3 linked regions of the Danio rerio genome follow. The main gene of each other region encodes a partner of the protein of the gene in region 3 in a complex. Links are inferred from orthologs where the notes say so. Each region holds a gene or a part of one and is shown on either strand. Other genes may lie near its edges.

Region 1 (4,043 bases), on a different chromosome or scaffold from region 3:
ATGAACACTAGTTTGATTAATCACTCAGCCCAATCCGCTTGTTAGGTCGTGACATATGAAATACTGTTTCCGAGTCCAAGCTGCTACTCATAATATTCATTTATGACCACTTTTTAGTTGCATATCACACAATAAAGTGAATTTTGTATAAAGTCATGGTGTACACACAATAAAAAAAATCCATTCCACTTTCTGGCCATGGAATATTAGGCATATATATATACACACACACATTGTGATCATGATTTCCGAAAGTATTACATCACCTTGTAAGCGTTTATTATTACCATTTGTTGAGCCTCTCCATACAGTTAGAGTGCCTGGACCAGGAAGTCGCTTCACGGAACATCACACTTAACAAGTGAATAATTTGTATACATTTATACCTTAAAAATCTGAATACTGGATGAAAATTATTTTAAAATAACATACCATATACCAAATAACATCAAAATATTTCTGTTTTATGTTGTTTATAATTGTTTAAATAAGCCAAAATAATACATGCCGAACAGCTTTTTAAGATCTCAAAGTTTTAGCTCATAAAAAGGAGAAAGTTCAAGAAACTGGCTGATAAACGGAAGAAAAGGCGGCATTTTTTCAATGCATCCATGTGTACGAACTTTTTTTTCAACGCGATAATTCATTTGACAGTCGTGTGTTAGCAGACCACTGTAATAAATTTATAAAAGCAACACTGACGACCCATGTTTCTAAACAAATTTTCTTCCATTTATTTAATTACGGTTGGCAACACAACATGGCGTCTCTCTGATGTCTGAACACTGTAACAGGTAAAATGCTCTTCGAAGCTATCATGCATGTTAATGAAGTTTGGTTTGAGTCGAGTCTTTTTTTTATGAATTAATGCTAAAAAAGATGTCACATTGTACAGAACGTAACGAATAAACAAAGAACGAATTTTCTGGAAATAATGCAAAAACAACCATTTTTCAAATTTTTTTGTTAAACGTGTGTCCTAATAGTGTTTTTTCAGGAGCATGGGACACATATAACTGTCACCATATAAAAAAACATATTTTGTGACCGTTTAAGTGACATTTAAAGGCGTAACAAGGTTAATTAGATTAATTAGATAAGTGATTGTATAATGATGGTTTGTTTTGTAGACAATCGGAAAAACAAAATATTGCTTCAGGGGCTAATAATTGTAACCTTAAAATGTTTTTTTTTTTTTTTTTTTTTTTTTTTTTTTTTTAAAGAATGCCTTCATTCAAGCTGAAACGAAACAAATGACTTTCTCCAGAAGAACAAATATTATAGAAAATACTGTGAAAAACATCCTTGCTCTAAGAAACATAATTTGGCAAATATTTAAAAAAGAAAAAAAATGTACAGGAGGCCGAATAATTGACTTTATCTGTTTATGAATGCAGTTTTTGCTTGTAGTGTCTTGTATTGTTTTAAAATATTGAATACAGTGTGAAAGGAAGAACACGAGGCTGCTGATTAGTGGTTTGCTCTTTTATTAATGATGCTTGTTTTTTTTTTTTACCTCAGGCAGTGATCATGGTGCTGGAGTCTACAGGCGAGCGGACGCTTCAGATGCTCCTGCAGTTGTTGAAGTGTCTCTGCTCCTCCACCATCATTACTGTGGATCAGATGAGACGGGTATGAAGCGCCAGCTGCTGCTCACATCGAGTTACTGCAGCTTGATGAGCATGTGTAATCTGAGCTCCATCCTCTTGCAGGGCTTTGAACGGGTGTATCTGGACATGCCGGACATCAGTATCGACGTGCCGTGTGCCTATTCGATCCTGGAGCGGTTTGTGGAGCAGAGCTTTAATGCTGGAGTCATCGATAGGAAACTGCGAGACCTCTGTCCTAGTCGGTGAGTCAGAAAGCCTGTTCGTTTGTTTAAGTATAATAGATTCAATGTTTTCTTTCTGCATGCACAGTGGTTTTGAGTAATAAATTTTTTTTCCCCAAATATTTTCTAGGAATCCGGCTATGTCAATAAAATTAGATAAAAAATAAAAAAAACCACACACATTACATAATGCGAGTTTGTCACAGAATAAAAATAGGCAATATCAGGTAGAGCCTTGTAAGTCCATAGTGACTGGCTATTATATAAAGGTGGTTGTGTTGTTATTACATCATTTATATAATGATTTGTATATTATGCTTCATAAGAGTAACAATAATAAATGAATTTACAATGTATAAAAACTGATATATTATTAAAAAAAATTACTTTAATATAGACAAATGGTATTTTAGAAAACTAAGTACATAAACTACATGATGATTAAAAAATATACATCTTAAGCTGCAAGTCAAATTAATGCATTCATTTGTTATGTTGATATATAAACAGCTTGTTAATACATGTATTTTTATTATCGTTAAATAGTTTAATACACGGTTGCAGTTTATCTTAATACTATTAGATTAATTTTCATTTGATAGTATATGAGTATATAAATTACTACTACATAATCGCAAAATGATACTACGCTATTGTCATCATTATTAAAATTTTATTAATATATTTGGTTTTTGTAGTGTATACAATTAATATTCTAATTTTATTAGCATTTTAAGAAATATAACTGATTATATTAGTGTAAATAATATATTTTTGATAATAATGCTATGTTAATATTATTAACATGTTGTTGTTGTTGTTGTTATTATAATAATAGTATATTACTTGTAGCACATTTACAATAATACTGTTGGTTTTATTTATTTTATAAAAATGTTTGTTTTTGGTAATATTAACTACAACAGAGTATTAAGGAAGTCCCTTTGAGGCAGGCTTGTCAAACTCAGTTCCTGGAGAGCCGCAGCCTTGCAGTTTAGTTCCAACCCTGCTCCGACATGCATCCCTGTTAGTTTCAAACAAGCCTGAAGGACTGCAGTAGTTTGATCAGGTGTGTTTAACTAGAGTTAAGCCTGTTTCACATGGCAAGCGTAAGTGGCGCGTGAGCAGAGCATGAGCAGAGTGTGTTTTTTCGACATCCATGTTAACAGATTAGATCTTTCATACCTCACACAGCAGCAGCGCATCAGCGTGAGTCGTAAGCGTCGCTGAAGCAGCAGTTTCGTCGCTGGGTCTATTTTTGCCATGCTGCTCACGCTCAATTAAAGTGACAGTGCATTGCTAATGACCAAAACACATTGAATGACAGTAGAAAGTAGCAATTTTACCTAATAAATGCGCTAATATTATCAACTGATTTTTATTTAGTCAATCAAATAAACTCAAACGATCAAAAACTGCAACAAATATTTATTTAGGTCCGAACTACAAAACCAAGTTCAAAACAACTTTAGTATCAGTTTTGCTTAAGTTGCACACTAGTGTTGCAGGAGAGGGGAAGTGGCCACTTTAAGACTGCTGTTTACGGGAGTTGTAGTCCATAGCGGCGTGTATTGTGGGTAGTGTAGTTCGACACGCATGCTGGGTGATGTGAGCTCGCTGTGTGCTGTGCAGCTGAAGCAAAGTTTCAAGAGTATCTGAATGCAGCCTTTATGTTGCAACCTGAGACCGCATCACTCAGAGATGCAATGTCAGACACAATGCACTCAAATGTAGCTAGTGACGTCACTGTGAGGGGTAGGGTTAGGGTTGGGGTTAGGTGAGCCCATTAAAAAGCATTGGGTGCAGCCCAGATTGCACTGCACCAGGTCTGCATCCAGACCCCTCTCGAAAGTTTTATTCAGCTTTGTTTTATGTTCACTCAAGTTATTCCACCTGGGAGCTGTTTGCACTGTGAACCTGACAAAACGAAAATAAGTTAAAGAAGGGCAGGCATTGATTACTCTTGTCTGTCTCATCCTTTACACGAGTTGTGACTCTGCCAACAACAACCTGACAATGAAAAACTAAATGACATGAGATCACAGGCGATTGTCTTCTAACTGTAGACATGAATGACACTACTCATAGAGCTTGAGAAGCATACAGTACTGTATGATCTATATAATTTGTAATATAAAGACTTGCAGGTTAAAGAAACAGCATAGGAGGAAGTTTCCGCGGGTAGGGATGGTCAAAATAATCGATAAACCGT
Region 2 (4,043 bases), on a different chromosome or scaffold from region 3:
AAGCCACTATAATTTCTGCTTGTTATTTAATGAGATTGTACATTCTTTTTTTTTTCTTTTTTTTGCTTTCAATTGTATTCAATTCAAAAGGAACTTGATATGTATTGAGGGAAACTGAAATACAGACATTTAAAATGTTTTCAAAACCTTTGCAATGTCCGGTTTACAGGAGCGAGGATTAATTTCCAGAAAACATGTTGATAAAAAATATGAAAGCAAAGAAAACCTAAATTGGTATAAAAATATAGAAAAAAAGCAGTGGTTGTTAATCCTGGTCCTGGGAATTTCATGGCTTTTTAAAGGGTTAGTTCGCAAAAAAATGAAAATTACGTTATTATTAACGGTCCCACTTTATATTAGGTGCCTTTAACTAATATGGACTTAGACTGAAATTAATAATTTGTTACAATGTGTTTATTGTGTAAATACATGTTTTTACATTGTACTTATGATTGATAAAATACCGGCATGAATTTACATGTTTAATTAATTTCTGCAATTTCTTACATTTTTAATTACACTGTTGACATCCCTTACACCTTAACCCTATTGATAACAGCAAACCTGTTATTAACCCTACCCATACCCCACCAGAAGTGTTCTGCAATACATTATAAACACATAAAGTCCATTGTATTTAGTTTTTTATGCAAGTACATAGTAGTTAAGGCCCCCTAATATAAAACGCGACCTTAATTACTAATGTCATTCTAAACTGAGACCTTACCTTCATATTATAAGATATTTTAGATGAAATCTGAGAGCTCCTTCCTTCTCCCTAGAGAGCGCGGTTCTTGCTTAAAGTCCAGAAAAATACCCAAAAACATCCTCAAAAAACAGACCATATGCCTTTAGTGGTTTAAATAGAACTATACGTGAATCCTTGTGCACATAAAACAAAAATAATGACTTTATTTAACAGTTTTTTCTCCTTAGTATATTGTGTACGTTCACGAGTACTGTGCAGTGATACATTCACTCCTGAATGCCCATGCACAATTTTCCCTCTTTAAAAAAAAAAGCATGGATTAGAGGTAATGCATCAGCAGAACGACCAAACGTAACGAGTAAACGTGACACTATACTGACAACGAGGAGAAAACTGTTGAATAAAGTCATTAGTTCTGTTTGATGTGCACACAAAATTATTCCGGTGGCTTGACATTAGTCCAATTAAACAACAGTAGGTATTTGGACCGTCTTGAAAACGTTTGACCATACATTGCAAGATAGCATTTAGCCACTGGGTGGCAGTATAATTCTGCATATCTGACAGTACTGCATAGAGTGGATGAACGATGTCACCTTGTAGGCATGCTAGCATTAAACTGGTTACCTTGATAAAATCCCCATAAGATTTTCCCATTGGCTTCACAAGACTGCAAATAATAACCTCTGTGTTCAAACGCACAGGAAAGGAAAGGGGTAAGCGTGTGGCTAGGTAGCAAACAGTTTTGACATACAGTAGTAGTCTATTGAATTCGGTTGCATCAAAGGTCATAAATATTTATAAAAAACTTCAGAAATATTTAAACATCAATGCTCATAGCTACATTTTCTGGAGATAAGCTTTATTGGAGAACAAAATAAAGACTTTATTGGCATGTACGTGTATATAAACTTGATCACTCTACCAACAATAGCGGCGAGTGGAAAACCGCTACTGCTAATGTTATAAGTATTTGTCTTTACTTTGAGGAAGTTAGGGTCCCTACTATATGGAGGACTAGAGAGCTTTCAGATCTTACTTAATATATCTTCATTTGTGTTCTGAAGTTGAATGAATGTCTCAGGGGTTTGGAATGATATGAGGCTGAGTTATTAATAGCAGAATTTTTATTTTTGGGTTAATTAACCCCTTAAGCCCACTTGGGATTTATCTGTATGTAAGGGATCACATACAGTGAGTGTGATTCAGAATGCAATCATCAGAACAGCATGAACATACTGTAAACACACTGACTGATTTTTTTTTTAACCACACATACAGTAGATAGTTCTTGCATCGTACACACATGCTTTGAATCGTTTTGCCATTAATTAGTTTGTCACGAGGTAAACCAGACCATTGTTTCACAGCTGAAAATAAACAAGAATGAACAGAACTAACTGGTTTAAATGACTGCATTATGAATCGGCTGAATGTAAAAATACGATCACTCACTGGTGACTGAGCTTTGGAGAAGTTCATATGAGCGTACAGCAAGACTGCGATGTCCTTATGTCCTGCTTCCAGAGCAATAGACAATGCGTTGCTTTCGTCCTACACAACACAAGAATACAAGCATCTAGTATGTGAAATGAATCTGACATGTCATACATACAGACTTGGGAAGGGTTGTGGGGACTCACATTATCACTGAGAGTGGCATCACAGCCTGGCTGAGCCAGCAGCAGCTTCACTATCTCCACATGGCCGTGTTCACTGGCACACATGAGCGCGGTCGAGCCCTCGTCGTCCTGGATGTTGACATCCGCACCACAGGCTAGCAGAGCTTTCACCATGTCCATTCTGCCATGACTGACAGCCAGCATCAGCCCTGTCTGACCAGCCTGCATCAAAGAAAACAGTTTAGACACTGACCACTAAGTCAAATGTTAATAGGGTTTAGACTTATATATGTAAACATACCATTGTCAATTGTTTATTTGCCAACTCTGGACTTAATTCCAAAAAATACTGTACTATTTCAATCCAGACTGGATTAAGCATTAAACTTAATTGATTTTGTGCATATTTTGCTCAAAACTGTATTGAAATAATGCAGAATTTTGTAGAGTGTTATGTAAATTTGTGCAATAATTCATATAATTGATGATACACTTCTTCAAACATAAATACAACCTGCCCCAAGCATTTATTTAAATCAATGCTCAAACAATTTTAGTATCCCACTGACCTGGCTGGCCTTCGCATTGACATCTCCTTTACTAAACAGCTCATCGACCACCCTCATGTCCTTCGGAGCCTCTACGGCGGCGAGCGCTGCGAGCATGATGGGCGTATAGCCTGCTTTATTCTGCTGATTGACATTGCAGACATCTGTGATGAAACAGAGAGAGCAGGGGAATCAGAAACACCGCTGAGCCCACCATTGGAGTAATGCATTTGGAAGGAGGTCTTCTATTGTTTGAACTTCAGAGAAGGGACACGCAGGCTATTCAGAAGGAGAGTCATGGATTGTGGATGAAGAGAAGGAGCAAAGCGGGGCTTCACTGACTGGCAATGAGGCCAAAGATGGCCAGAGGAGAATGAGAATGGAAGCAGACAATTGAAACAATGAGGGCCGTTCGAAAAGAGTCAGATAGTAGAGGAGCACAAAGGCGATGGGATAATGGGCTTTTATTTGCAGGAGTCGAGGCACCTCATCATAGGGTATTCATAGAGCTCTTTGGTACTTTTTTGGAGAAGGAAAAGTGGAAAATCAAACAGAATGATTCTGTATGTGGACGGAGAATTAGCTATTAGCTTACATACAAATAGCACTGGTATTTAATTTACATTTAATAATGAAATAAAAAATGTAATCAAACTGAAAAAAGAGCTTGTGAATCAGAACTGAATCAAATCAGTATATTTGAATCCACAGTTCTGATTTATGACAGCAATATACTATAAAGTTTTACCATTCAGTCACGCTGCCTTCACACTTACCAAACATAAGCAGTTTTAAAAGAAAAATGCTGAAATAGAGACTCCCATATACAGTACTAACCAGCTTCCAGTAGCTTCTTGACAATGTGGAAGTTGGAATGGGACACGCTGTAATGGAGGGCGGTGTTGCCGTTGCCATCGGCCATGTTTACAATGTGCTGCAGCAGGGCAGGAGAGATGCTTCTGAACGCATTCAGATAGTCCTCCACCATCTCCGCCACAGCCGTCTTCTGACTGGATACTCGGAACCACTCATGCTGCACGGTGTTCACACACGGCCTCTGGAATCAGAAACAATTATACACCAAGATCAGTAGGAATATGTACAGGGGAGTTACAGTGATAGTGCTGTTTAACCCCAAAATCACAGGAAACATTTAAGAATCAT
Region 3 (3,062 bases):
ACTTGCCATGCCTGCATTGGGGGTACCAATGTTCGTAATGATGTTCAGAAGCTTCAAGCTGATGTGCCCCACATAGTGGTCGGAACCCCTGGCCGTGTGTTTGACATGCTCAACCGCAGATATCTCTGTAAGTACTTGATTTGGTTCATCTTGATTTCAAGTCTAATTCTAGAATTTGAGTTTTGTTCTTTTTTTTTAATTCTATTTAATTGGCTAATTTGCGTTTTTTTTTTTCTTTCACCTCTCCTCCAGCTCCTAAATATATAAAGATGTTTGCCCTGGATGAGGCAGATGAAATGTTAAGTCGTGGTTTCAAGGACCAAATCTATGAAATTTTTCAGAAGTTGGCCACAGACACTCAGGTAAACAAGTCTATATTATTTTGTGTGCATCCACGCCAAAGTTCCCTCACCTGCCAGCGCTCTGTGCTGTGATGGGTATCAAGTTCTTTGGTAGAGTGAAGTAACTGCTCTCCACTATGATTGGGCTCTTCAGTCCCTGTTCATAACTATTTAAGCAGCTGACATTAAATTTAAAAAAAAATATTTGTTTTACTTTTTACTTCATAAAGGAAATCCAACCTGAAGTTTCACACAGAATTGTAAGACATTTTAAGAATCGATTTGATCAAGTAGTTTTTACCAGATGTCGTATTGGGCATACGAGAATAACACATGGTTTTTTGCTCCAAGGTGAAAACCCTACTCGGTGTTTGTGCTGCAAAACTCCTCTTACTGTAAAACATATTTTACTGGACTGTCCTGCTTTTACTGATTCCAGAAAGACTTTTTATGAAATGAACTCTTTTAAGGACATTTTTGACAAAGTGAAACCAGAAAAGATTTTAGAATTTTTATCATGTATTAACACACATCTTAATTTGTTTTATTTTGTTTGTTGATTTTTAAATTGTATATTTATTGTTGAAAGATTCCTGCCATGAAGATAGCCTTGGTTGCTGACATGGCACTAAATAAAAAAAAATACATACATACTTATTAAAGGTTTGAATATGGCTGCTTTTTGCTTTGATCAGTCCAACTATTAATCTTTATGGTCTCAATTTATTTTGAGGCCTGAACCTAATAGAGGGTCTTACCTTTTTTCACAGGTGATTCTTCTGTCTGCCACCATGCCTCAGGAGGTGCTGGAGGTGACTACAAAGTTCATGAGGGATCCCGTTCGTATCCTAGTTAAGAAAGAAGAGCTGACCCTTGAGGGTATCCGGCAGTTCTACATTAATGTTGAGAAGGAGGTGAGTTGAGAGGAATGTGAGCTGTCATGTTTATGGTTTGCAGTGATTAGTGACAGTTATAAGGCTGTTTTGTGATGATCCCCATGCGTGTCAACTGATCCCAGACTCCCTGCAGTGCTCAATGTCTGATGAGCGTTTTGCTCAACAGTGCATTTTGAGCCTGTAGGACTCTGGGAACTTGATCTTAACTTTTAAATCTGAAAACGGCACTACTTAGTGGTTAATCTTAAATATAATTCAATTAAAAGAAAAGTATCCTTTTACAGAGCAGTTTTCTCTGTATTACAGGAGTGGAAGTTGGACACATTGTGTGACCTTTACGAAACCCTGACCATCACTCAGGCTGTAATCTTCATCAACACTCGCCGGAAGGTGGACTGGCTAACTGAGAAAATGCACGCAAGGGACTTTACCGTTTCTGCTCTGGTAAGTGAAAGGTTTTCTCGAATGAGGATTTTCAAAACCTGGTCAAACACTCAAGCAAACCCCTTCAGTCATTTTTAAAATGTACTTCCTGAATACACCAAAGTTCCCTCACCTGCCAGCGCTCTGTGCTGTGATGGGTATCAAGTTCTTTGGTAGAGTAAAGAAGCTGCTCTCCACAATGATTGGGCTCTTCAGTCCCTCTTCATAACTAATTAAGCAGATGACATTTTCATATCATGATTAGGCTTTTTACTTGAAATAGACTCTCTACACGTTATTGGGTGGGTCATTTATAACTGATGGTGTTGTATTTAATTTATTTGGATCATAGTTCGGTGAGACACCTCTTCCTTTAGTGGTTTAAACTGTCTTTTGGCCACTTTCCTGTTTTCTGAGGTTATGATCTATGGATGGGTTAGTGTATGAACTTTATTTTTTTTTTTTTAATCCTTTCAGTCAATGTTACAATGTAAGCTTGCAGCGTTGACCATATAAATATAAGCAAGCAGACGATGGGAAAAGATCCAGAGAGGGATCCTGTTTGTTGTTCTTTTGACATCTTAATTATACCAGTGCTGTAAGCTTTTTGAGTTAGACTGGTAAGAATGCGAGTTATCTACAATGGTTCAGCTCAACATTTTAAACCCTGTCGACCAGTGTATTTAGTGGTTGACTTAATGAATAGGATTTCTAAATTAATCTTGATGGCTGTAATCTGAGACCTCCGTTTCAAAACATAGCTGATATGGTCTTCCATCTGTTCACTGTCATCCGTTCAACTGTTTACATTTAATGACCATTTTCATGCTGCTCATAAATTCCTTTTTATGACTTTCCACTTTCTTTGACTTCATAGCATGGTGACATGGAGCAGAAGGAGAGAGATGTCATCATGAAAGAGTTTCGTTCCGGCTCCAGCCGAGTGCTTATCACCACTGATCTGCTGGTAAGCAAATCTACACACTAAGCTTTCACATCCAAAGATCCCTCTTCCACCAGTAATCAGTGCTGTGATGGAGATCATGTTCTTTGGGAGATTATTGAAACTGCTCCCACAGTGACGGGGTCTCAAAATCCCTTAACACTAATATAAGCAGTTGACATTCACACTTTTCAAGCACAATGGCTTTAATCTTTCAGAAAAGGTGTATACAATAATTAGTGCACCTACGTTCTCGATCTAAATCATTGGTCACTTTCATCTATACATTTGCTTTGAAATCATCTTCCACAAGGACTTTCCAAACAAGATTTATCACTCAAATGTATAGTTCTGTCTATAATGTGCTCGCCAGATCCTCAAGCAATCACAAAGGTCTGATTTTTGTATATTTTATCTTCAGGCAAGAGGCATTGATGTACAGCAGGTTTCCCTGGTCAT

Evidence for each region. The genes of interacting proteins can lie anywhere in the genome.
Region 1: the proteins of eif4a1a (region 3) and pdcd4b are in contact, whole or in part, in a crystal structure (PDB 2ZU6), measured with the Homo sapiens proteins. The link is inferred for Danio rerio from reciprocal best matches to the Homo sapiens genes EIF4A1 and PDCD4. Residues at the interface, in NP_001407.1 of Homo sapiens: Gln75, Thr109, Arg110, Glu111, Ile135, Gly137, Val140, Thr158, Gly160, Arg161, Asp164, Glu186, Leu188, Ser189, Arg190, Gly191, Phe192, Gln195, Ala214, Thr215, Met216, Pro217, Glu240, Leu241, Thr242, Asn280, Thr281, Arg282, Arg283, Thr329; in NP_055271.2 of Homo sapiens: Pro170, Gln173, Glu174, Glu177, His178, Glu183, Glu186, Met187, Asp190, Leu209, Glu210, Lys212, Glu249, Leu250, Leu252, Asp253, Thr254, Pro255, Arg256, Gly320, Gln321, Gln322, Ser323, Val324, Leu327, Glu348, Lys352, Glu355, Val356, Pro357.
Region 2: the proteins of eif4a1a (region 3) and kank1a are in contact, whole or in part, in a crystal structure (PDB 7DDX), measured with the Mus musculus proteins. The link is inferred for Danio rerio from reciprocal best matches to the Homo sapiens genes EIF4A1 and KANK1. Residues at the interface, in NP_659207.1 of Mus musculus: Lys99, Val140, Arg141, Val144, Gln145, Lys146, Leu147, Gln148, Met149, Glu150, Ala151, Arg168, Arg169, Tyr170, Ser172; in NP_852069.4 of Mus musculus: Gly1168, Asn1169, Asn1171, His1175, Tyr1176, Val1178, Asn1201, Lys1202, Ala1203, Tyr1205, Met1209, Leu1210, Leu1213, Ala1214, Ala1215, Gln1240, Ala1241, Leu1248, Ser1251, His1252, Arg1254, Asp1273, Glu1274, His1285.

The regions. Positions count from the first base shown.
Region 1 is NC_133197.1:31,538,555-31,542,597, reverse strand, and holds part of pdcd4b (programmed cell death protein 4b), read left to right. Parts: intron 1-1,521; coding exon 1,522-1,632; intron 1,633-1,712; coding exon 1,713-1,852; intron 1,853-4,043. UniProt on the Homo sapiens protein: Inhibits translation initiation and cap-dependent translation. May excert its function by hindering the interaction between EIF4A1 and EIF4G. Inhibits the helicase activity of EIF4A. Modulates the activation of JUN kinase.
Region 2 is NC_133180.1:45,819,563-45,823,605, reverse strand, and holds part of kank1a (KN motif and ankyrin repeat domain-containing protein 1a), read right to left. Parts: intron 3,937-4,043; coding exon 3,717-3,936; intron 3,044-3,716; coding exon 2,901-3,043; intron 2,554-2,900; coding exon 2,353-2,553; intron 2,264-2,352; coding exon 2,165-2,263; intron 1-2,164.
Region 3 is NC_133182.1:26,543,555-26,546,616, reverse strand, and holds part of eif4a1a (eukaryotic translation initiation factor 4A1A), read left to right. Parts: coding exon 1-127; intron 128-252; coding exon 253-362; intron 363-1,111; coding exon 1,112-1,255; intron 1,256-1,321; exon of another isoform or gene 1,322-1,460; intron 1,461-1,543; coding exon 1,544-1,681; intron 1,682-2,537; coding exon 2,538-2,627; intron 2,628-3,024; coding exon 3,025-3,062. UniProt on the Homo sapiens protein: ATP-dependent RNA helicase which is a subunit of the eIF4F complex involved in cap recognition and is required for mRNA binding to ribosome.